Arabidopsis thaliana: one gene and its partner. The protein of the gene in region 1 interacts with the protein of each later gene in a pairwise test. Each region holds a gene or a part of one and is shown on either strand. Other genes may lie near its edges.

Region 1 (11,481 bases):
TGAGGAAGAGGAACTACAAGAAAATGGAATCTCTTGTTGCCTTCAAGAACTGGGCTGGTCTCAACACATGATACAAGCTTTCAGGACACAAGCCAAAGACATCTCTATCATTGATGTATTGTCGTCTCTTTTTGGTGTTGTGACACTTGGCATTGCTATTAATAGAAAGCGTCAGATAGGAGAGTTTTTAGTTAAAAAAAGATGGCGCCAAAAGCAGCCAATATAGATTTAAGACTAGTCAATCCCTAAATTGTAGGAATGCCTTTGGTTTATAGAAATCTTCAGGCAAAACAAAAAAGAAAGACCAAATGAATTATTTCTTTCAATTTTCTTCAAACTTTTGAAAGGATTTGCCCTTTTCGTGTGTTTGTTTTATGAATTGCTCATTGCTTCAATCTAATATCAAGGATAGATTTTACAGTTTCCTATATCGGAGGTTCGTTGCCTTTATTTATTAAACCTTCATGAGTTCATCATTATATTTCTGTTGTTTGTTCATTTGGTTTCATTTCTCAAAATTGTATTAAGTTTCATTTTGGTTTATAGACAGAGAAGAATCGTGAAGAGAAGATTACTAACAGAGGGGGCCATTGCGGGTAAAGTATAAGGTTCGAAGAGCTAAGGTTCATTGGAACTTTACATGGATATTCATAGGTATAAGTAAGTCCTCTGTTTTACTATATCATTTTTCTTTATGCTGCTTTACATCTGATTGGTTCGTTGAATCACTCTACGATGTAGCTTATGTAAGTTTTCATTGTTTCTTTTAGCTATGGAAACGAATCACAAGAAAGGAAAAAATAGAAAGGCTTATCATCTAAAGAAGCATAGAAAATCAGATAATAATAAGAGTTTTGAGCCAAGACCAACGATCAAAGAAGTGAATGATGAGAAGCCGGTTTTGTTCCAATTGGGGAGCATTGCTAGTTATGGGGTCAGTGATGTTCGTCTCGAGGAAGATCCAGAGATCACCACCAGAAGATCCACATCTCTTTCCTTGTCTCCAACCTCTTCAGAGGATATACACGAGATCAATGCAAAAGGAAGGAAATCAAACTTATCTTTCGATAGTAGCCTACACAATAAGGAGCTCTTTAGCCTGTCTTCTAAATTATTCGAGTTACAAGGTTCATCAGACACACCAGGGTCACAAGTGTCTGGTGTAACGAATGCTTCAGTGGAGCCTTTGCTTTTATCTCCTTCGATTCAAATGATGGATAGAGAAGGATCTGATCAACCTGAGAGAAACTCGTTACCTACCTTGGAGAAGAATTTGAGCACACTTTCAAATGATTCTCTGTTTAGTCTCAGCATAGGTGATAACACGATAGCAAGAGATGAGTTGTTTAGTTACCGTGATTTCAAGTCTGGAGAGATTACAAAATCGGGAGAGCTGTTATCGTTCTGCCCTGCTATTCATGGTCCGGCTGATTCTTCTGATCTAGGAAAGAGCTTTGATATGGAGGACAAAGCGAGTGGCGAATGTGAGGATAAGTCATCGAACTCAAATGTATCGTGGAGGAACATCGGAGATTGCAATAACTCAGACGAAACACCAAGCAGCACACAGTCATTTTCATATCCAATGTGAGCTTCGTTACTTTATACCATCATCTCATTGTAGTAGTCTTCAAAAACTTTATTTTTGATTAATTGTTCTTTTCATGAAGAACGAAAAAGAAGAAGAAGAAAAAGAAAGCAACAAAGAAGAAGATGACACAGCAGCAGCAACAGCAGAAGCAGAAGAAGCGATGTTCTTGGTTGTGTTGCAAGAACACTGGACCTTGTTTCTCCTGCTGCAGATTGCCAAGTTGTGGTTACAACTTCTTTTGCTGCAAACGGTTAAAATGTTGCCCGTGCTTCTCCTGGTGCAGATGGCCAAGTTGTGATTACAATTCTTCTTGTGGCTGGCTCTTCTGCTGCCATTGGAGCTGTTGGAGTTGCTGTTGCTGTTCCAGGTAGATCGCTACTTCCGGATTCTCACATTGGTCTTCTTTAATCTGTGATTGTTTCAATCGAAAAGCCTACCCGAGTTTTCTTTGTGTTGCTACAGTTCTTCAAAGAAGGTAGTAGATGATGAGATGACTAGAGGGAATGACGAACAGAGACTGCAAAAAGCAGAGTTTAAAACATCTCATCAATGGTTTTGTTGATTTCCTTGTTGCTCTTCTTCTTAACTTTAGATTAGATTCTTACGCAACTCTGTTTTAATCTTTAGCTAAAGGTAAAAAAAAATAGATTTTACAAATGTAAAAGTTTCTTGCCTATTGAGAGCAGTTACCCAAAAAAAAAAAAAAAAAAAACAATATAGTTTTTCTGTTATCATCATCAAGTCAGGTGAAGTTTGAAAATAGTATTAGCATTATAAGGTTTAAATAAAGATTAGGTCTGAAGTCACAATATTCACAAATCTTATGGTAGATGAATATCAAACAAAATTCAACATAGATTTACCCATTGATTTTATATTTCTTTCATTGGCCGTCGAGAGTTTAGATAGAAGTGTTTTATTTTATCAAGTAAAATTTTATATAAGCTATTATTAGTTATCAACTTGATATGTCAAAAGGAGAAAGGAGTTGCTACACTTTAATTATCGGAAACAAAAGGTTTAATAAAGATTAAAGGTCACATGCATAGTCATTTATCTTGTGGTAAATATGTGTAAAAACAACATAGATCATCCATTGAGGTTGATGTATATTTGAATGCACGTCGACATCTTAGATATGTAAGTGTTTTAACTTCTCAAGTAAAAAAAAGATTTAGCTAGAAGTAATCAACTTGATTTGTCAAAAGGAGAAAGGAATAATCAATTTGACTTTGTTGGCTAATATAAACAAAATATATGTAAGAAGTATTAACACTAAATTGTCGGCAAAACGTGAAAATGTGTGTAATTCTTCCCATCTCATTACTGTTTTAACAGTTTTCCCTATAGATCTGATTTCTATTATTACGGTATTAATCTATATATTTACAAATTCAATAGAAAAATAAAAAATATTGACACTTATCATTTTTTTTGCCTTGTCATTTAGAAGGAATTAATAACTAGATTTTATATATGTGTAAAATGAGCTATGTATCTTTATATAACTCCTTGTTTTGGAACTTTGTACATATAATTATTTTATTGACAATAACATGAAATTAGTGAGTTTCATCATAGGTTATAAACTTATAATTAAATCTTTCAACGGCATTAACACAAATCATTTATTTTTACTAAATCACACATTTTCTTATTAATATTGCAAACTATATTTCTTTCTACTACTCCTAAAGGTCCATGTTTTTGTCAAGTGTTTCAAAATGATCGGAATTCTAAAGAACGGCATCATTACTATATTTCAAGATATTTGACAATATATTAATTTACAATTAAAGTGGTATATAAATTAGCAGATTAACAGAAAATAATCAATGAGATGTGTGAGTCTTTATTATACATTTTTCACATGTTAATTTTTTAAGAATAAACACTTTTAAACAATAAAAATAAGTTATGTTTTTGTTATATATTACAACTTTTCACAATAAACTGTATTTTTGTAACGTTTTATTTTCTATTCATTCGTGCTTCCAGATAAACGTACTGTACTGTACGTCAATACAAAATCACGTTTCTTGTCTAATATTTTGTTATCTTTAGTAAATTATTACACTTGTTTACATCTCATTAATGAAAAGATCATTTATTTTCAGCTAAAAAAATTCTAGATCCACTTTTTGTTAGATGTTATTTTTTTCATTTTTGTTATAATTACTGTACAAAATGTCCCAAAATTTGTTAGATGTTCTTACCCATTGCATATGTTAACATTTTTATTTATTATGTGCAAAACATATGATAAGATATTGAACACATTGGTGAAAAAAAGAAAGATATTGAACACATTACAAGATTCTTTTTCTTGATATAAGATCTGCACAAGTACAACTGTGATTCCTTTTCTTTGTAAAGCGAAATCGTACTTTAGCTAGTTTCTTCTTCTAGTACTCAATTTGGTTAAAGGCATCAACGGTTACAATTCTAAAATATGGACATAAAGGAGTCGTGTGATATAAACAAAAAGAACAAAAACATTTGGACCATATATGTATTTCTGACGCAAAATGTAACGTCATAATGACGATGATACACAGAGGAATACACGTCTAACTTAAATAAAAATGAATCGTTATGAAAGAAACGATTTTGGAATCTAATCATGGACCAATAAAGAGACTAGTGCAGGTCCCACGACCTATCCCGCCTGGTCAAACCAGAAGCAGCCATGTGGTCTTTCACTTCTCTCTCTCTCTTACATTAATACATTCAGACATTGACTTCACTGGGTCCCACTCTTCTATAAAGTCTCTCTGACAACGACAAAATTTTAACGACAGAACCCGAGAGAGACACCGCTGAAAGTGAAACACTATCCTATTTATCTCTCACAAATACAAGCGACAATTTTAGAAATAAATAAGAAAAAGTTAAAATAATTTTTTATATAATTCTAATGGATAATATCTAAGTAATTTTTTCACTAGCATGTTTTGAAATTTCAATAATTTAAGGACGGAGAAAAAAAAAGAAGAAAAGTTAGAAAAGCTGAGAGATTTTTTTCTTTCTTTTTTTCCTCTTTTCCTCGAAATTCATTCTTCTTTGACTGTTTCCAATACGTTTAAGAACTTTTTTTAAATTTATTATGTGTCTTGATAATAGAGCCATAGAAAAAAAATTGTTTGTTTAATGTCATTTTCTTTTTGAGTAAAGAAACTTTCTTCTTTTGCAACTTGAAAATTTTCGATTTCGAGAGCGAAGGAAGAGAGAGAGAGAGGGAGAGATCAAAAAAATTTGTGAAAAAAGAGATTTATTTTAGGGTTTTGTTGATTTTCTTTGTTCATTTTGCCGTCGTCTCTTTCTCTTTCTCTTGTGAAGAAAAAGAAGAAAAATGAAACTTCTGGGTTTGGTCTTCTTGCTGTTTAATCTGTTTATGTTTTCGTTTTCTCGGAAACTTTTAACCGAGAGTGGTGGTGGTCTCCACGACGAAGCTGCTCTGTTGAAGTTGAAGAGTAGTTTCTTGGATCCAAATGGAGTTCTGTCTAGCTGGGTTTCCGACAGCTCATCAAACCATTGTTCTTGGTACGGTGTCTCTTGCAACTCTGATTCGAGAGTCGTTTCTTTAATTCTCAGAGGCTGTGATGAGCTTGAAGGTAGTGGTGTTCTTCATCTCCCAGATTTGTCTTCTTGTTCTTCAAGTAAAAGAAGACTTGGTGGTGTAATCTCTCCTGTTGTTGGAGATTTGTCTGAAATTAGGGTTTTATCTCTGTCTTTTAATGATCTTAGAGGTGAGATTCCAAAGGAGATTTGGGGGTTGGAGAAATTAGAGATTCTTGATCTTAAAGGTAACAACTTTATCGGTGGAATTAGGGTTGTTGATAATGTTGTTCTTAGGAAACTTATGAGTTTTGAGGATGAAGATGAAATTGGTCCAAGCTCAGCTGATGATGATTCTCCTGGTAAATCTGGATTGTATCCGATTGAGATAGCTTCTATTGTGTCAGCTTCAGTGATTGTCTTTGTGCTTCTTGTTCTTGTGATCTTGTTCATCTACACGAGGAAATGGAAACGAAACTCTCAGGTTCAGGTAGATGAGATCAAGGAGATTAAAGTGTTTGTTGACATTGGTATTCCTCTGACGTATGAGATCATTGTTAGAGCTACTGGTTACTTTAGTAACTCTAACTGTATCGGTCACGGCGGTTTCGGTTCGACTTATAAAGCAGAGGTGTCTCCAACGAATGTGTTTGCTGTTAAAAGACTCTCTGTTGGGAGGTTTCAAGGTGATCAACAGTTTCATGCTGAGATCTCTGCTCTTGAGATGGTTAGGCATCCGAATCTTGTTATGTTAATCGGTTACCATGCGAGCGAAACCGAGATGTTTCTTATTTACAACTACTTATCTGGAGGAAACCTTCAAGATTTCATTAAAGAGAGATCGAAAGCTGCTATTGAGTGGAAGGTACTTCACAAGATTGCTCTTGATGTAGCGCGTGCTCTCTCCTATCTTCACGAACAGTGTTCTCCTAAAGTCTTGCATAGAGATATCAAACCGAGTAACATACTCTTGGACAACAACTACAACGCTTATCTATCTGATTTCGGACTCTCGAAACTCTTGGGAACTTCGCAGTCTCATGTCACAACTGGTGTGGCTGGAACATTCGGATATGTAGCTCCAGAGTACGCAATGACATGCCGAGTCTCGGAGAAAGCAGATGTTTACAGCTATGGGATAGTCCTCTTGGAGCTGATATCGGACAAACGAGCTCTGGATCCTTCTTTCTCATCGCATGAGAACGGGTTCAACATTGTCTCGTGGGCTCATATGATGTTGAGTCAAGGCAAAGCGAAAGAAGTCTTCACCACAGGACTATGGGAGACTGGTCCTCCAGACGATTTGGTCGAGGTTCTGCATTTGGCACTCAAATGCACCGTCGATAGCCTCTCGATAAGGCCGACAATGAAACAAGCTGTAAGACTGCTGAAACGAATCCAGCCTTCTAGATTGTGATACAAAGCTAGAAGAAAGGTGTTTTTAGAGGATTTGTACAGCAGCAAACAAGTGCCTAGCCATTAGAATCTTTCTCAAGTCTGTTTTTTATATTTTCAGTGCTAGGGAGGTTTTTCATATGCATCATCAAAATGTTATTCTCAGTCTACTCTCTTGAAAACTGATATAAATGATGTTTCTTTCTCCTTAATTCTCTCTGTATAAAGCAGGTAAAAAATACATATATGACTTAAAAATTGAGAAATGACCAGAGACTCTTAAAAACATCTTCTCTAAACAAGGGTTGGTTAGAGGGTTTTTGGTCTATTATAAGAGATTAGAAGGAGAAGAAGTGTTGACAACAATGTGTCTAAGAGGATGATCTACATGAGGACCACCGGCATGTTTAACGAAATCCGCCGGAGACAAGAAATCGCCATGGCAAACACACATGATCCTAACTTCTTCTCCACTGCCGTATCTATAAAGAATCCCATCAACTCTCTTCCCATTTGGTCCATCTCCTTTGGTAAACACACATGGCATCTCACTTTTTCCTTTCCCTTGTGGCTCCATCTTCATGTTCATGTCCACTGAACTCAATCTTCTCAAACGATTTGTTGGCTTTGTCGTTGTTTCTTGTTGTGGCTGTGTAGTTGATGGTAAGCTTCTTGCTTCGTCACTGGACGCTGTATTCACCAAAACATTACATGTTCATTAAGTAACATTGATCCATTATCAATATTAAACGACCTTTCGGGTTGCGAAAAGGCGAAAACTTTGCATTAAGCTATCTAGCAAAAGTAATCTAAATGATATGTTACATCAAATTACTTTTAACTCAAGTTTCAACAAATTTAAAAGATTCATGTTAATGATTGAGCAGATTAGAGAGATTAGTACTATACCTTTAGTTTCCAACTCGGAGACGCTCGAAGAACTTCCGGCGGCTCTTCCTCCGCCTAGAGATTCACCGGAAACTTGTAGTGAATCGAGACCAGCACTGTGCTGCCGCAAAAGCCCGCTTTTGTTAGCAGTCGCTGACCACCGTGGAAGTCCTGACGATGGTCTACCTCGCCGTCTCGAAGCGGTGGCAGTAGCAGCTTCTTCCGGATTATTACTGTTTCCTCCGCCGACGCCAGTACGAAGCTTCTCGCTTCTCCGTCTCTTGGCTGCCATTCTTCTCAAAGTCTGCATCTCTTTCCTCTTCCTCCACTCTTCCTCCGACTCTGCCGGCAACGACGTCGTTCTCATCAAACCCGTACCCCGAGTCGCTCCCGCCACCGTCTCCGTCGAAACCTTAGTTGTTATCATCGCCGCCGCTTGATGATGATGATGATCTTCACGAAACAGAGGCATCGTTACAACAACGGAAGAAGATCTCACAAGCTTATTACTCTTATCAACACCAAATCTTCCACCAAGAGATAAGCCAAGATTTAACTCGATCTCATCATCATCTTCTTCTTCATCATCATCTTCACCTTCAACAGAGTTAGAGATAAATCTCTGAAGCAGATCTCTTGGAAACACACAACTATTACTTCTCGCCATTTCTTTACTTCTCTCGTTTGCTTCCGCCATTAACAAAAAAGAATACTGGAAGCTTATGAAACAGTAATCAGATTTTTATGCCACGATCCATAATAATCCAATATTTTCACAAGAACTGAAAAAAAAGTTTCTCTTTAGTCCATTGACAAAAATTGACGAGACACGTTTCGTTACTATTGATTACAAATGGGGGAGACAGAAGAAAAAAAAGTTTAAATGGATGAGACAGAGAAAGAGAACTCAAATTTGAGCACAAGTCGGAATATTCACTACCATTTACTTGACAATACCTTATTTAGTTCTTCATCATTAACATGTACAATTAAAAACGAAATCCCTGTAATTATTATTTTCTATTTACTCTTAAAAATATTCACCAAAAAATGGAATTGTAATCAAATTAGATTCTTTCCTATATCAAAAAAATAATATAAAAAAGTTTATCTATTAATTAATTAATTATTATGTTGTTGAGGAAAATTAATAAAATAAAGTTGAGTAAGAATAAAATAAATGTTGGGTTTTGGGCACGTAGAAGAAAAGAAAGCGACGAGAATAGCCAATGTGTGAAAAGTGCCAAGTGGCAATCAGATGATCCCTCGAGTCGACACGTTTTTTGTACGGCTTTGTATTTTTTTATTTTAATTTCTTTGTCTCCTTACTTTTTGCCACTATTATTGCTTCTTTCTTTGCTCCTACTACTAGTATTTAAAAAAACAGAATTCAGTTTTTTCTTATTATGAAATAAATTGTTATAATATTCGCTGGCAAGTTACGTGTTAGCATCAGCGTTAAAAACGGAGAAGGTGACATGTGTCGGAGGAGACACGTGTTGCTCTGTTTCGGTTTAAGTTCAGAGGAATGGGCTTATGGTTCTTTGTCTCAGGTCCTACAATGCGTAAACATTCCAATACGTATTTATCATTTTTATAACTTGTTCTATAGTGTGTTGTTATTCATGATTGGTTCTATTCTTTTCAAAATAGAAATAATGTGTCTATTTTGAGAGAAATTAAATTAAAATCATTGATAATCGACCAAGTATTCAATTAGTAATAGTTTCAACTGATTGTTATAAAATAAGACTTCATATTTACTTGACAACTCAAAATGGAGGAACTCAAAATTATTAATAGTTAGTTTTTTTTCTGTCGACGTCCTCCTCCAAACTCAAATTAATGATTTTATATTCCATGGCAAATCTAGATATCCAAATTATATATTGACAAACAAAAAAAGAATCAATTCTTGAAAATTCAATTTCCTCTGTAACCTTAATCGAACGTGATATATCTTCATCGCATGAACCAATATTATTTTTATCATAACAAAGTAATTTATTTTATAATCGTAAGTGTTACCAATTGGCTAACGGGTAAGGTACGTGGTCCTCCCCGGCCAGCTCAGAGATCTGAGAGACCTCCTCTTACACGGTGACAACGAACTGTCGCGGGAACGTGAAGCATGTCAGAGCTCGGACTTGTAAACACGTGTCCTAGTGGGTGTGTGGATCCTCTTGCGTGTCTAATAACATCCTCCGATCCACACTTGTTGTATTATTCCCAAATCATCTACATGTTAGAACGTGAATCATGCTTTTACACTCAGAGGATCCTTTTGAACCAGATTATAAATTATTGAGTAGAGAGAGTCTAATTGTAGAAACTAGAAAGGCCAGAGTCATTTTATTTTTTTCACAAGTGACGATTTTATTAAGATGAACATAACATACAACGAACGAGCAAAAGCCCAACAACATAAAACGGTTTACAGAGACTATTTTAAGTCCAACTGGCCCAACATTACATTTAGAGAAGAAGATTGGATCAAGCTAATATATCTCAGACACGTGTTAGCATCGAATACACATGTAACCTGAGGAGACGAAAGTTTTCCATCTATCATCCTTCGCCGTGAAGCCATCGATTCTGCCGGAAACTGAAACTAAGTCGAATGAAACTCGAAGATTAGCTTCATCTGAATTTTTCCAACAACTACAAAACAGAAGTAAGGATCTAATACGGATCTATTAATCTCAAAAGAGAAAAAAGATCTTCGATTAACCACCTCTGTTACTTAGACCCAATCGAAGCTTGAATATAAGAGATACAGCTAAAGGCAATCATAATAAGCTGAGGAAAGAGCTTTGAATCTTCATCTCAAAAACGCAAACTGCCTAATTATTATCCGTAAACCTTAAACTCAAAGGATAGGTTGGAATTAGATCTAATTAAGCAAGCTTGGACTGAAAACCAACGCCATCACCAACACACATACCCAATGAATTCTGATCTAAAGACAATCAACGGTCGAAACGTAACCGTGATATAAACCAAAAGGAAAAGAAAACCGAACTACGCCGGATTAACACCGTGAGCTAGCCATCACCGCTGAAAGAGCCGATGATGCTAGACAAGGGCCGACCATGTACTGCTGTGGAAGCCAATATATGTCAGACGAAAGCCGGATACTACACCGGACGGCAATTCAACCATCACCGACGACATCAATTTACCGTCGTCGAAAATTTTGGTTTGATTCTCTCTCTGAAAATTTTGAGAGAGAGAAGAGAGAGAGGGCCAGAGTCATTTTAATTTTGTCTTTAAGAATAAAATGAATACAATAGTAACAGAAAAAATATAATAGCCGTGACTCGATAAACATTTTAAGCAAAAACTCTTGTATGATTCTAAAAAGAATAATGAATATAGGCCACTCACCATCATTACAAGTCCACTGTCCACCACACATCAAAGCTAATAGGTGTTGTGATAGGCAGTGGCGGAAGAAGGTTATAAGTTTATTGCCATAGGGGCTCACGTGTCTCCACCGGATTGGTAAGTAAAGAATTTATTACTTTTAATTTGGTTTAAGTGTCTAATTATTTTAGTTAACTCATATTAAAATATATCCTTTTAATTAAAAAAGGATTCAAACAACTTATGTGAAGTTTGAATTTCTAAGAAATTGTTGTGAAGATAGATTGTGATTTTGTTTATTTAGACCTTTTCATTGCATCCAATATGTTTATAGACCTTAGAATTTTCATATATCAAAAAAATTGGAACAAAACTTGAGCCCAGAAAACGTGTAAAACCAATGAGTATTATGCAACAATTATTTTTGTGAAGGATTCTAAATATAATATATAGATATATATACTAAAAAATAAGAATAGTGAGTAGAAATATTTAAAGTTTTATTCATGATAAATTTTGAATTTTCAAGAACATTTTGACACTTTTATGAGTTAAATTTCATAGGATGGGGTTTTTTCTCAGAATGGATTGTGGTCCAACGCTTTTTATACTTTCGAATTTAATGATAAATTAAAAGGAATTACTTTTTTTGTTTTAATTATAAAAAATAAACAAAAGTAACC
Region 2 (13,294 bases), on another chromosome or scaffold:
TAGGCCAAAATCAACATTGACTTTTATAGTGTTAGTAAACCATTGATTTCTTATGACTAAGCATATATTGCTACGATGATGTGGTGTTATACGGGCTGATTTGCATCTGATTATTCCCAAATTTGAAGCTTTAAAAACTCATTTTCGTAAAACCAAATTTGAATTTCATCAGAGTAACATAAGAACTTGCTGGATCCGAGTGGTCAAAAGTGAAATATTCTCGTCTTGAGGTTGCAGGTTTGAATATGCTTGTTACAATTTTACATTTTTTTGGAGATTTTTGCCACGTTTTCCTGTATAACATCACATCATCGCAATAATAACGGTTGACTAACATTGTTAAAGTCAATGTTGATTTGACCTAATATTGATAAGTTCATGTTGCGAATTTGAATATTTAATCACTTCGGATAGGAAACGACCATACATTAGAGTCTGGGTATAAAAACACCGCATACAAATAGTTTAAGTTGATTTTGACCGTTTTCCCTGACATAAACATCCATAAATCTTATAAACATTCTAAAGATGTCATTTTTACAAAGAAGAAAAAGAAAAGCTAACATTTTTATTCAAAATTTGAAGAAAACCAAATTGGTAAATGTATAGATCATTGCTTGAACGAGACATGAATTAAATTTTCTAAAAACATCTTACGGCAACAATGCTCCAACTTATTCAGAGAAATATGAGGTTTACAAAAAGTGTATATTCTTGGGTTGTACTCTTTTTGGACTATACGAAGCTCTAGTGAAGAGTTTGCTTCTATTCCGAATCTCCTTCTGAAGGATGTTGTTGATATGAATCCTGAGAATCTGGCTGAATGTTTCTAAGCTGCGAGACAAAAAGCTTGGAGATGCCGTTTATAGCTGCTTGGACCTCATCGGCATTGCTTGGACTTCCCCAGACAGAAGATTGAGAGCTTAAACCAGTGTACTCGCTTGCAGCAACTTGTGTCTTCTTTGAGGTAGCAAGAACCTTCTCCAAGTCCAGTTGTGTCAATGGTCTAGGAACCTGTGAAATGTAGGTAACTCAAAGATGTCATTACTTAAAAATCAGGTGGATGAAGGGAACATTGACATTCCCTAAAAAACGGTTTATCACTTACAGAAACTCGTTTGCCCTCTTTCTCTGCCTCTAGGATTTCTCGGATTGGGAAGTAAGCTGCTTTTTTGCAGAGTTCAAAAATATCTGATCCGGTATAGTCCTCACATAAACGAGCTATACGATCATAGTTAATATCTGATTCAACACTCTCTCCTTTCAAAACAACTTTCAATATTTGCGCTCTCTCCTGGCAATCAGGCATCCCGATCTCAAATGACTGAGGAAAACGCCTCAATATCGCTTCATCGAGCTCTGATGGTCTGTTAGTTGCAGCAAGAACCATCACCCTCGCATTCTCTATAAAACCAAAACATCAAACCTCAGACTGTACATAGTTCACATGGCTAAACAGAACAATGAGGACAAGAATTTCAACTCACGGTCTGTAGTAAATCCATCCCATAAAGCCATAAACTCGGTCTTCATATTCGACATTGCTTCATTATCAGTCGACCGTCGCTGGCCAAGAAAGCTATCCACCTCATCGATAAAAATAATAGCAGGTTGGAGTTTATACGCCAAGCTAAACACAGCAGACACTGAAGAAAACATAAATCAGTAACACAACCAATAGACAGGTAATGTAATCTCCAAATCTACACCTACCAAGCTTCTGTGCATCACCAAACCACTTGCTCATCAAATTAGAAACCTTTACATTAATAAAAACAGCTTCAGACTCTCTCGCAATCGCTTTAGCAAGCATAGTCTTCCCAGTTCCAGGAGGACCATACAACAAAACACCCTTTTGAGGACCCAGTAACTTCCCATAAGCAAAAAGCTCAGGTCTTTTCAATGGTAGAATCACAAGCTCATACAAAGCTTGCTTAATTGACTCCAATCCTCCAATAGAACCAAATTCAACATCTATGTGTAATGGGTTTATTACATCACACGCAATCACATCCTGTTTTCACAATAAACAATTGAAAAGATTGGATTTTGAATACGAATTCAATCAATTAGAGAACTGTATAGAATCAAAATTACCTCGTATTGATTGGTTTGAATAAGAGGACGACCCAAACGTTTGGCGATTTCTCTTTTGTGCTCGAGAGACTTTTTAGCGGCGTCACGGTTCGGGTCAAGTTGACGGAGACCAACGTAGAGAACCAAGCTACTCAATGCAGCACTAGCGACGTAAAGTATCAATTGTTCTATGAAATTTGAATCCTTTCTCCCTGAAGATCTCTTCATATCTTTGGATTTGGGAATCAGAGAAGATTCAAAACGAAACCCTAATTCTTGAAGAGCGTTCGTTTGGGGTTGAGGATAGGGAAAGGAAGAAGAAAGCTCTAAACTGGAAATTACAGGAAAAGAACAGTTGGTGGCATTATCGTAATATCGTTGAGAATTGTGTGCATATTGGTAATTGTTTTGGAACTGGCTTAATAGGCCTTGTGTGGTGTTTCGCCAATGGATCTGAAATTTAAAGCCCTTCGAAAGCCCAATTTCTAATATTATAAGATTTTGTGAATTCTGTTTTTGTTACAAAAGTAGCATTTGGAAAAAGTCGACTCCTGAAAAATAGTCTCTGTAGTATTTCCTTAATTCCTTTATATATCTATTATTCAATACTCACTACACAATTATTTATTTCTAGATAAGATGCAAGACATACTATAGCTACTACAAGTGCAAGAGTGTTTATCGAGTTATCCTTACACGTTTCGTTGTTTCATCTCCCGTGCACTCTTTTTCGTACTATAATGGAAGTGAAAGAGTCATTGAATGATATATGTAAGAGATTTGACCTTAGCATGCATCTAACACGTCAACTTCAAACTAAATTAATATATCACAAATCAAATCCAAAACGTAAAATAATGTTCTCCTCGTCATGACTATATCTCTATGGATTATTCAACTTCTTTTACTTTGATCGTGAGGAATTTCATATGGAGATAAACTTTTTTTTCGTCAATCTTGTACAGTTAAACATTTTCCGCTAGTTAAAGAAATTCTCGTAACGGAGTATGAAATTTTTTGTGACCACATATCATCGTAGAAATTTAGACAAACAAAATTAAGAGGATGAGAGACTCGATGACTTTTATTGTATTTCAATAACAATAGAACCATGAAAAAAATACGTGCACTTACACAAGAAGCAGCCAAGCAGGTGGCCTAGAATAAAAAAAGGCGTTTGGTGTTCAATATTTTTCATCCATTTGATATTTTTATTTCTTCTCTTTCTACATACATCGAATGTTTATCTTTTAAACTTACCAAATGGATTAAAATATCGAATACAAAAGCGCCATCAATGATGATCAGAAAGTGGTTTTGGCATGGGAATCAAAATGCACGTGGCTTTCCGAGAAAGAGCGCGTTAGACAAACGCAGATCTAAAAGACCACGTGAGAATCAGCAAACAAGCAAGGTTGTGAACAATACACTGACTTCAAAATTGCGTTTCTTCTCAACCGCATCCACCATGTTTTATCATTTATTCACCAGAAAAGAAAAAGAAACAGAGATGTTGATCATGCATGTTGTTACCATTCGAAACGCTAAATTTGTTTGAAACAAATAAAAAAGAGCACCAAGTTCTTAGCCTTCCACTTGTCATTTGTCACTTTATGTTTGGGTTCTGATATTCCATTTTTATGCTTTATATATCTCAAACCAAACACATATATAGTTGGGGATGCATTATTATCCACTAGAATATTAAGAATGTTGACTATAGACAACTGTATGACATTTGAGTCTTTGAGAACTGCGAAATGGATTGATCGATGAATTTTTTAAAAATGTAGACCTAACTATATAATATCTTACAACTTTTTTAGTTTGGCCTTCCATTATCAAATAGTCTAATATTTTTTTAATAAATAAATAATAAGACTAAATAATTTGGGAGACTGACCAAAATAACGAATATTATAAGATCGATGGAAAATGGTTTAGGAAAAAAAAAATTAGACTCCTTTTTAGTTTTTAGTTTACAAAAATACATTGATGGCTGCTAAAATACATATATCCAGACGGAACTGGGACATGTAGGGATATTGAATGACAAAAGTACTTTGTGATAAGATATGAATAAATAAACCGAGCAAGTTGATAATATATTTTGTCAAATTCGTTGAAGCTAAATAAATATTACACTGTGAAAAATAAGTAGAATAGTGGTCCATACATTCTTACAGAATTTACTATATGTTGAATTCAAATCTCTCACAATGCTAATATCAATATAAATACGATAGAAAATGAAAATGACATGTTTTATTCTTCAATAACTGGTGTGTAAAAAAGTATCGTATGAAAATAACTGAAAGTGCCATTTTATACCAAATCATAGTTGCTTGGTGCGTATCGTTTGGCATAAAGTGAACTATAATTTAGATGTGAAGGTCCAATATTCCCAAGAGGCGAAGACAAAAATTGGGTAGACTTAAAAGAGTCAATTGATCAAACATGAACTGAACTTGGGTAAGATCATACTTTCAATCATTAGAAAGGATCCACCGAGAGGTCTAGCTATGAAGATAGGCATGGTCAAGCTGAGAAGGTTAGGACGTAATTAGTAAATCTTGGTTATAGATAGATAGTCATATGGTTGATCTTGCTTTCTCACACTTAACACCATCAGTTGAATCCAATGTTAAAAATAGGTAATTCTCAGATGCAGTACCTCATAAATGTTGTAAAAAAGTCATAAATAATTATTCAAAGGAATGCATGGAAGAAGTGAATTACATATTTTTAAAAAAAATATAGGAAAAGAAAAGTAAAGTTCGTACAAAAGAGAGTAGTATTATTCTCTTTTTCTTCTCCATAGGGCCTCGTAATATCTACTTAGCATACGAGGACACATTAATATTCGATCATGTATATATATGCCTACGACTACGAGACATTCGAAAGTTATTGTCTAGTGGTTTGTATTCACACAATTTCCGTGTTAACAGTTTTAGTTCCATTTCCTTCATATAGAGATCTAAATGATACTACTACATATCATTTAGTTTAAGGAAGGACGATGTAAGAAAATAAAAATCTAATATACGAGAGAATTGTAACACGTTCACTTCATAACTAGCTAGCTAGTGGTACTTACCAGTTACTACCCCAACTCTAGTCAACACTACATTAAATACTATAATGTGAACAAAATTATTTTGAACCAACGGCTGTTACAGTAGTTTATTCAACTTTATCAACCAATGCATTAAATTGAACATATTTCTGGCCGATTGAAATAGGTTGGGAACGATCTTATAAAATTCAGTCTTAAACAAGTCTTGGTTTTCAAAAATGCAAATTCATTCGTATGTTCTTGGCAAAAAATGGTTTAATTGGTTTGATCTGATCTTATCCTATCACGCAGGATTGGTGTAATATAACGCACCAAATTCGGCCAGGAAACGTCCGAATATAATAGTCCAATTCTACTTATGAATTTGACGTGTTGACGTAAAGAATCAAAAGTCGAACTTATTGAATAATTTATTCGACTTTAATTTTCTTTTGGGGTTTTGGTATGTTTGTGACCACATGGTATGGAGTTGACATTTACCATTTTCTTGATTGACTACCTAAGAAAATTTTAATTATTATTCACATTATGGAGAGTTATGTTTCCATATTTTGGCTTTAATATTAATCATGTGGTCAATAAAATAAAGAGGATAGTTATGGCATAAGATTGTCCATAATGTCATCATCTTGTTTAGTAAAAGACAGTCACATGAACCGGAATCTCGGTTTACCAAACTTTTCACTTTTTCAGTTTCACATGAATGTCACCAGATTCATTGAGTTAAACATGTATTTTAATACTATAAAAGGTTAATTAGTTATGATATCATATTTATGACTTTTAAAAGACTTTTGATATTGTAATCTGTAACTAGTTATAAGTTAACCATCTCTTATAATTAGAACAAAAAAAAACTTAATTATGGATGAACTGATTTTAATGGAAAAAATATTTAGAAATAGAAATACATTCATAATTTATATCTAAGTCTAACCAAAACACAAATCTAAAGTTACGAATAAATCATTTCAAGTGTAATTTTACTAACTATTTGACTCCTAATCTTATTTCATCACCTAAACTCCTAATTGTTATATATTTATGAGAGATAATGACATTTGTTCCTCTACATACTAATCTAATGGTTGAATAGTCATGTGTTTGACAAACTTATAAAGTTTGATTTTTCGTATGTGACATTTAGTTATACATCCATAAATTATATAACTTTCTTAGTGAGATATATGAAGGTTATATATGTGGAGTATATTCTTAATAATTAATTGTTACCCTACTTTTTTTCTTTTCGGTGACGTAACTTTTATAAAGTTTAACCCCTTAATGATTATTGTACTACATAAACCCCAAAACTCTTTTCTCTTTTCTTTTTTCTTTGTGTAGTACTGATATCAAGTCAACGTGCGGTACATAAGAACCCAAGATCCCATAAATAAATTCTTCTTGGTTTTAAGCTTTCTTCTTCATCTCTACTTCTCTATATAACTTTGAGTAGTCTCACCAAAGTCCATTTTTAAAAAATCAACTATACCATTTTTAGCTATTCTTTGGTCTTCGTTTCGTGTAAGCATTCAATGTTTTTTTTCTTTTATCTCTTTGGGAAACGGGAGTGTGGTCTTCGTGTGTGTGTCCCTGTTTCATTAACCAGTTACGTTTCATTCTCTTCTTTTCTTACGTTTACTACAGATTTCAGAAAGAAAAAAAAGTGTTTGAAGCAAAAGAGATTAATGGCAGATTCTTGAGTCATTAACTTTTTTCTAATTCTTTTAATTAGATCTCTGAACATAAGAGATAACTTGCGTCATTATTCTATGGTTATAAAGATTATGCACTTGATTAAAATAATCTCTAGTTTTCCTTTTTCTCATTTGCTAAGCAACTGTTTCTTTTTCTTCTTCTTCTTCTTCTTCAGATAATTATGCTTGGGAGTGGAAAGCAAGAAAAATTCTAAACTTTATATAAAATTCCCAGAATCAATTGATCCAAAAAGAGGTACCATTTTTTTCCTCTCGTCATTTTCCATAAAAGTAAGCTTTTGATTGATATTTAATTATTAAAAGAATCTGTCTTTTGGGTTTTTGTTTTGACAAATTTTTGTTTTTTCAGTATTGTCAAAAAAGATAATCAAGAAGAAGAAACTCTGTTTTTTTGTTCTGTTCTTGGAAAAAAATGAGGAGTATGATGATGGAGAGAGAGGGAAGGAATGAGATAGAAAGAGAAGTAATAGATGACTTGGAAGAGACGCAAAACGAAGGAGATGATTTCAAGTCAATACCTCCATGGAAGGAACAAATCACTTTCAGAGGAATTGTTGCAAGTTTAATCATTGGTATAATCTACAGTGTGATCGTGATGAAACTAAACCTAACAACAGGTTTGGTCCCAAACCTAAATGTCTCTGCAGCACTTTTAGCCTTTGTCTTCCTTAGAAGCTGGACCAAGCTGTTGACCAAAGCCGGGATTGTGACTAAACCGTTCACTAAACAAGAGAACACTGTTGTCCAAACATGTGCTGTTGCTTGTTACAGCATTGCAGTTGGAGGTTCAGTGAATTTTGACCAGTTGTTTTGACTGTTTGATCAGTTTTTGTTTGGGGTTGGATCATTGTTTTGAGCTATGTGTTTGTGTGATTTGCAGGTGGGTTTGGTTCATACCTTCTTGGTTTGAACAGAATTACTTATGAACAGTCAGGAGGAACTCACACTGATGGGAATTATCCGGAAGGCACGAAAGAGCCTGGAATCGGTTGGATGACCGCTTTCTTGTTCTTTACTTGCTTTGTTGGTCTTTTAGCATTGGTTCCTCTAAGAAAGGTAGAGATTATTTAAGATTCTGTCTCATTGAATTTGTAGTTAGAGATGTTGCGGTAGGCCAAAGTTTGCGGGTCAGTCCGGCCCATATAAGTGTGATATGGGCCTGGCCAAACCCGCTATAGCCAACATAGGACGGAGATTAATATTGGCCAAGTTTGGACTATTAATCCCCTGTTGGCTGGTTTGGGTCTACATTGCTAAGTGTTCATTATGCTTCTTTTTTTGGTTAACCAGATCATGATCATAGACTACAAGCTGACATATCCAAGTGGAACAGCTACCGCGGTTTTGATCAACGGTTTCCACACTCCTAAAGGCAATAAAATGGCCAAGTATTAACTCGATTTTTTGGCAGTCTCTTAGCTCTCTTTCACCACTAATTCTAGAGTTTTTGATTTAAATAAAATCTGTTTATATGCAGGAAACAAGTGTTTGGGTTTGTGAAGTACTTCTCATTTAGCTTCATTTGGGCTTTCTTCCAATGGTTCTTCTCTGGTGGTACAGAGTGCGGTTTCATTCAGTTTCCAACTTTCGGGTTAGAAGCTTTGAAGAACACGTGAGTATTATTCTTAGTTCTATTGACTGTTTATATATCAACAGATAGAAACAGAATCTTGATGATCTTGAAAAAACTTGACAGATTCTACTTCGACTTTAGCATGACATACGTTGGAGCAGGAATGATCTGTCCCCATATTGTCAATATATCTTTGCTTTTTGGCGCGGTTCTGTCTTGGGGAATCATGTGGCCACTCATTAAAGGTCTTAAAGGAGATTGGTTCCCATCAACTCTTCCTGAAAACAGCATGAAGAGTCTCAATGGTTACAAGGTTCCATACAAAAAACACTAGTACTCTACAATAAACTCCGCCCTTTCTTTCGCGTACTTTCGTTCTTAATTTGTTCATAACTCTTTAGGTGTTTATATCAATCTCATTGATCCTCGGAGACGGGCTTTACCAATTCATCAAGATACTTTTTAAGACAGGAATAAACATGTACGTCAAGTTAAACAATCGCAACTCTGGGAAATCTAGTAAGTATACACCAAAAAAACTATAGAAAAATCGTCATTTCAATAATGTATTATCTGATGTTCAAACGTAAATCGCAGATTCGGAGAAAGATAAGCAATCTATTGCAGATCTTAAAAGAGATGAGATCTTTGTAAGAGACAGCATTCCATTATGGGTTGCAGCAGTAGGATACGCAGCGTTCTCTGTTGTCTCGATCATCGCGATCCCTATAATGTTCCCCGAGCTGAAATGGTACTTCATAGTCGTAGCTTACATGTTAGCTCCATCGTTAGGTTTCAGTAACGCTTATGGAGCAGGGCTAACAGATATGAACATGGCTTATAACTATGGTAAAGTCGCTCTGTTTATCTTAGCCGCTATGGCAGGGAAACAAAATGGTGTAGTCGCGGGACTTGTCGGATGCGGGTTGATAAAATCGATTGTATCGATTTCTTCTGACCTAATGCACGATTTCAAGACAGGACATTTGACTCTGACTTCACCTAGGTCGATGCTTGTGAGTCAAGCGATCGGTACAGCGATCGGATGCGTTGTGGCGCCTCTAACTTTCTTCTTGTTTTATAAAGCTTTCGATGTCGGGAACCAGGAGGGAGAGTACAAAGCTCCTTACGCTTTGGTATACAGAAACATGGCAATTCTTGGAGTTGAAGGTTTCTCTGCTTTGCCTCAACATTGTTTACAGCTTTGTTACGGGTTTTTCGCATTCGCGGTGGCGGCAAATCTCGTTAGGGATAGGTTACCGGATAAGATAGGGAATTGGGTTCCATTACCGATGGCAATGGCGGTTCCGTTTCTTGTTGGAGGGTACTTTGCTATTGATATGTGTGTGGGAAGTTTGATTGTGTTTGCTTGGAATATGAGAGATCGAGTTAAAGCCGGTTTAATGGTACCGGCGGTTGCTTCCGGTTTGATATGTGGAGATGGTCTATGGATTTTGCCGTCGTCGGTTCTTGCTTTGGCCGGCGTTAGACCTCCTATATGTATGGGCTTCATGCCGAGTAAATATTCGAGTTAAAGATAGCTTTTTACGAGTTTTTACTTTTTTGTGTAGCGACAAAAAAATTAGCTAAAGAATTGTGGAAACAAAAAAAACAGTTTATATAGGAATTGTACTTTGTAAGTTTGTATACACAATAAAGTAATAAACTAGTCTCTCAATTCTATTTAAAAATCCATGTCCCAAGTAACTTCTCCCCAAAAAGAAACTCAATATTTTAGAATAAGGTCAAATGGAATTAAATTCCAGAAGATATTTGCCAAAATAGTGATAAAAATACGGTTAAATTGGTATATGTTTTTACTGACAAAAGGCAAGATTCTTCTATTTTAAGATTTATTTCTTTCTTTGAAATCTGCTAAACGTTGTTAGATCACACTTTATGTGTCTGTTTTTTTTTTTGTCAATTCAGCACACGTCATATTTGTATTTTTCAAAGTACCAAACGTGGACCAAAATAAAATCTCGTCAAAAATGGAAACCAAATTTTAATTTGATTTGCACAAAGCCCAATTTGATTTGTTTAAAGTCAAAGCCCAACTTGACCAAAACTACCCCTGCTCATCCAAACCCTAAGCAAAATATCGAGGGTAGTTTCGTATTTTGTTTATATTGAACACAATTAAGTAGGTGAGGAACCTCTATTTCTTCCGTCTTCTGCTGATTTCTGAGCTTCGGAGCTATCGAAAATTCTGAATCTGAAAGGGTAAAGATCCCATCTTTTTCCAAAAATCGATAAGGGAATTAGTATATTCGTTCATTCATCATCGTTCTGATGATTTCGATTTGAATCTGTATCTAGTACTCTGTATTATCAGAAATTTTGATTAGTAGCTTTGATGTGTTCTTGTTTTGCAGTTTGAGTGAAGATGTCTTCAGATCGGAAGGTTCTAAGTTTTGAAGAAGTTTCAAAGCACAACAAAACTAAGGATTGTTGGCTTATTATTTCCGGCAAGGTTAGATCTTGTCTCTTTGTTTGAGAACATCTCTGTTTTTTGACGAACTTAGTTCTCTTCCGCCATTGATTTGTGTCAAAGCTTCGATTTTAAAGTTGTAGAGTTGGATTGTTACTGTTAGAAGCTTTAATCGAGCCCCTCGTAGATTTAGTTGATTCTATGTTAATTCACACTAGAGAAACAGAGTTTGTGTCTACTACTTGGTTATGATCTGTGATTGTTGCGTTCTTTAGGTGTATGATGTGACTCCATTCATGGATGATCATCCTGGAGGCGATGAAGTCTTGTTGTCCTCAACAGGTATAAAACTTGTGTTTCTCTCTGATTCAAGGCGGATTTGAAGCGGCTCGGTGACTGTTTCTGTTCTGATGTGGTGTTTTGTTTGCAGGGAAAGATGCTACAAATGATTTTGAAGACGTTGGTCACAGCGACACTGCAAGGGACATGATGGACAAATATTTCATTGGTGAGATTGATTCGTCTAGTGTTCCAGCAACTAGGACATACGTTGCACCACAGCAACCAGCCTACAACCAAGACAAGACACCAGAATTCATTATCAAGATTCTTCAGTTCCTTGTTCCGATCTTGATCTTGGGATTGGCTCTTGTCGTCCGTCACTATACCAAGAAAGACTAGAAGAAGCCAAAGGCTTGCTTTGATGCTTGTCATTGAATATCTCTACCGATCTCTGTCTATCTCTCTTGCGAAAAAAAGTACTGTTACTGTTGTTTGGTCTTAGACTGATTCTTGTTGAAATTACGAACCAAAAATCATTGTGTTGCTACTAGTTTTACTGTGTTGAGTTTATGATGACAGTGTTTTCGACTTTGATGATATAATAAAAGACTGCTTGATTTGCCCAAACTTAAGCTGCTTGATAAAGAAGTGAGAAACTGGATTTCTACAATTGAACAAATATGTTTCATACAATTGTGGAAATGACAGTTTCAGACTCATCCGTTACATTTTAACAAGAATATTGCCTTGTCTTTTTCATTAGTACTACAATAAAAGCGATAAGGATAGTAGTATTGTGTTTTCTCTGTGTGATGAGTAAACAAAAAGAAAGAAGAAAGAAAGAGAGGAGTGAAAACGGTAAGAACCAAACCGCAACAAACTTTAAACCTTGAGAAAACGCAGCCAGACGAGTGCAAGGGCTTTTGTGTAGTGGAAACACTTCATTTCTGGCTTTGATCGACTTCTTCATCAAATACTCTGTGATTGAGAAAGAGTTTCAATCTTGTCGTGAAGCGTCACGACAAGATGATGGGCATCATCAAGAAGCTTCCAGACATTAAGCTGACCAGCCATGCTATTACACTCTTCCACAATCTCATCCATACTACTGTATTTCTGTATGATCAGTTTCCTACGTAGTACTAACGCCGCGATTGCATAGAGCAACAAATCATCCGTTGGCGGTGCTTGTTGCCGGATTCTGCTCCATGGCGACTTCCCAACTCCAGCTCTAATGGCAGCTTGATCAGCCCACATCACTTCCCAGAGACACAGCGTCTGTTCAAAACTCAACTCCCTCCTAAACATAACAAGCACCATCCTGTAAACGAAACTACAATCTTCTGCTTGAAGATTCTCCAAGTGTTTATAAAGCTGAGAGTCTTTATTTTTTATGATCTTTGATACAATGCTTAGCTGTCTTTGAATCCCTGCTTCGTCAAGCCTGAAATTGTGCCGAGCTTTCTTCATGAAACCAACAAAGCACCAGAAAGCCTCGTGATCCTCTGAGATCACAGCGAGGATTGGAGATAACAGATCACTCATTCCTTGACAGTAGCCTATCTCAGGATCATACATAGCATAAGCTTCAAGAATTGCAACTAACCGTGCTGCGTGGTATAGCCTGCAGCTTTCTAAGTGATCATAGTCTTTTAACCCGACAGATTCGGCTAACCTGCGAGCTTTGCTTTCTGTGATTGCTGTTGAATATGGAGAATAATTTGCCCATTCAGAATCCGCTCGTAAAGCATCAAGCCGGATGATACGTTGCCACGTAGAGAAATCTTCGTGTACCGCAACTTCTACTTGGACCTCAGAAGCAGCAGCTACAAGAAGAGAACTATTCTCTTCAGAATTGTTATTACTATTATCCTCCTCCGGCTTTTTTTCATCGCTGTGTGCAAAAGATGAGAGTAGTAAAACATCTTCATTATCTTCACAAGAGTCTGTATCAGAAGAATCAGTGTTCAAAGCAGAAACAACATCTTGACTTGTCATTGGTCCTGTAATCTTATAATCATCCACGAACCGAACACATTGACTGTTTGCCTCATCAGATGGAAGCTCCTCAAGATTATCGGTACTTCCATTACCGCACTTGAGAAGCATCTGACATCGTCTCTGTAGTTTCTCAT

Evidence for each region.
Region 2: the proteins of RPK1 (region 1) and YSL3 interact in a protein complementation assay, tested with the Arabidopsis thaliana proteins (one large-scale study listed by BioGRID).

The regions. Positions count from the first base shown.
Region 1 is NC_003070.9:26,035,962-26,047,442, reverse strand, and holds RPK1 (receptor-like protein kinase 1), read left to right. Parts: upstream 1-4,740; 5' UTR 4,741-4,943; coding exon 4,944-6,566; 3' UTR 6,567-6,754; downstream 6,755-11,481. Other genes in the region: AT1G69290 (Pentatricopeptide repeat (PPR) superfamily protein), read left to right, coding at 1-71; AT1G69280 (uncharacterized protein), read left to right, coding at 773-1,587, 1,671-1,958, 2,054-2,153; AFP1 (ABI five binding protein), read right to left, coding at 6,873-7,234, 7,454-8,129. UniProt on the Arabidopsis thaliana protein: Involved in the main abscisic acid-mediated (ABA) signaling pathway and in early ABA perception.
Region 2 is NC_003076.8:21,748,796-21,762,089, forward strand, and holds YSL3 (YELLOW STRIPE like 3), read left to right. Parts: upstream 1-6,455; 5' UTR 6,456-6,930; exon of another isoform or gene 6,931-7,028; 5' UTR 7,029-7,108; intron 7,109-7,197; exon of another isoform or gene 7,198-7,222; 5' UTR 7,223-7,285; coding exon 7,286-7,658; exon of another isoform or gene 7,659-7,753; coding exon 7,754-7,929; intron 7,930-8,163; coding exon 8,164-8,261; intron 8,262-8,350; coding exon 8,351-8,485; intron 8,486-8,569; coding exon 8,570-8,759; intron 8,760-8,847; coding exon 8,848-8,965; intron 8,966-9,043; coding exon 9,044-9,981; 3' UTR 9,982-10,138; downstream 10,139-13,294. Other genes in the region: AT5G53540 (P-loop containing nucleoside triphosphate hydrolases superfamily protein), read right to left, coding at 766-1,014, 1,109-1,404, 1,488-1,646, 1,714-2,014, 2,098-2,304; CB5-E (cytochrome B5), read left to right, coding at 10,833-10,919, 11,153-11,219, 11,308-11,558; AT5G53570 (Ypt/Rab-GAP domain of gyp1p superfamily protein), read right to left, coding at 12,129-13,294. UniProt on the Arabidopsis thaliana protein: May be involved in the lateral transport of nicotianamine-chelated metals in the vasculature.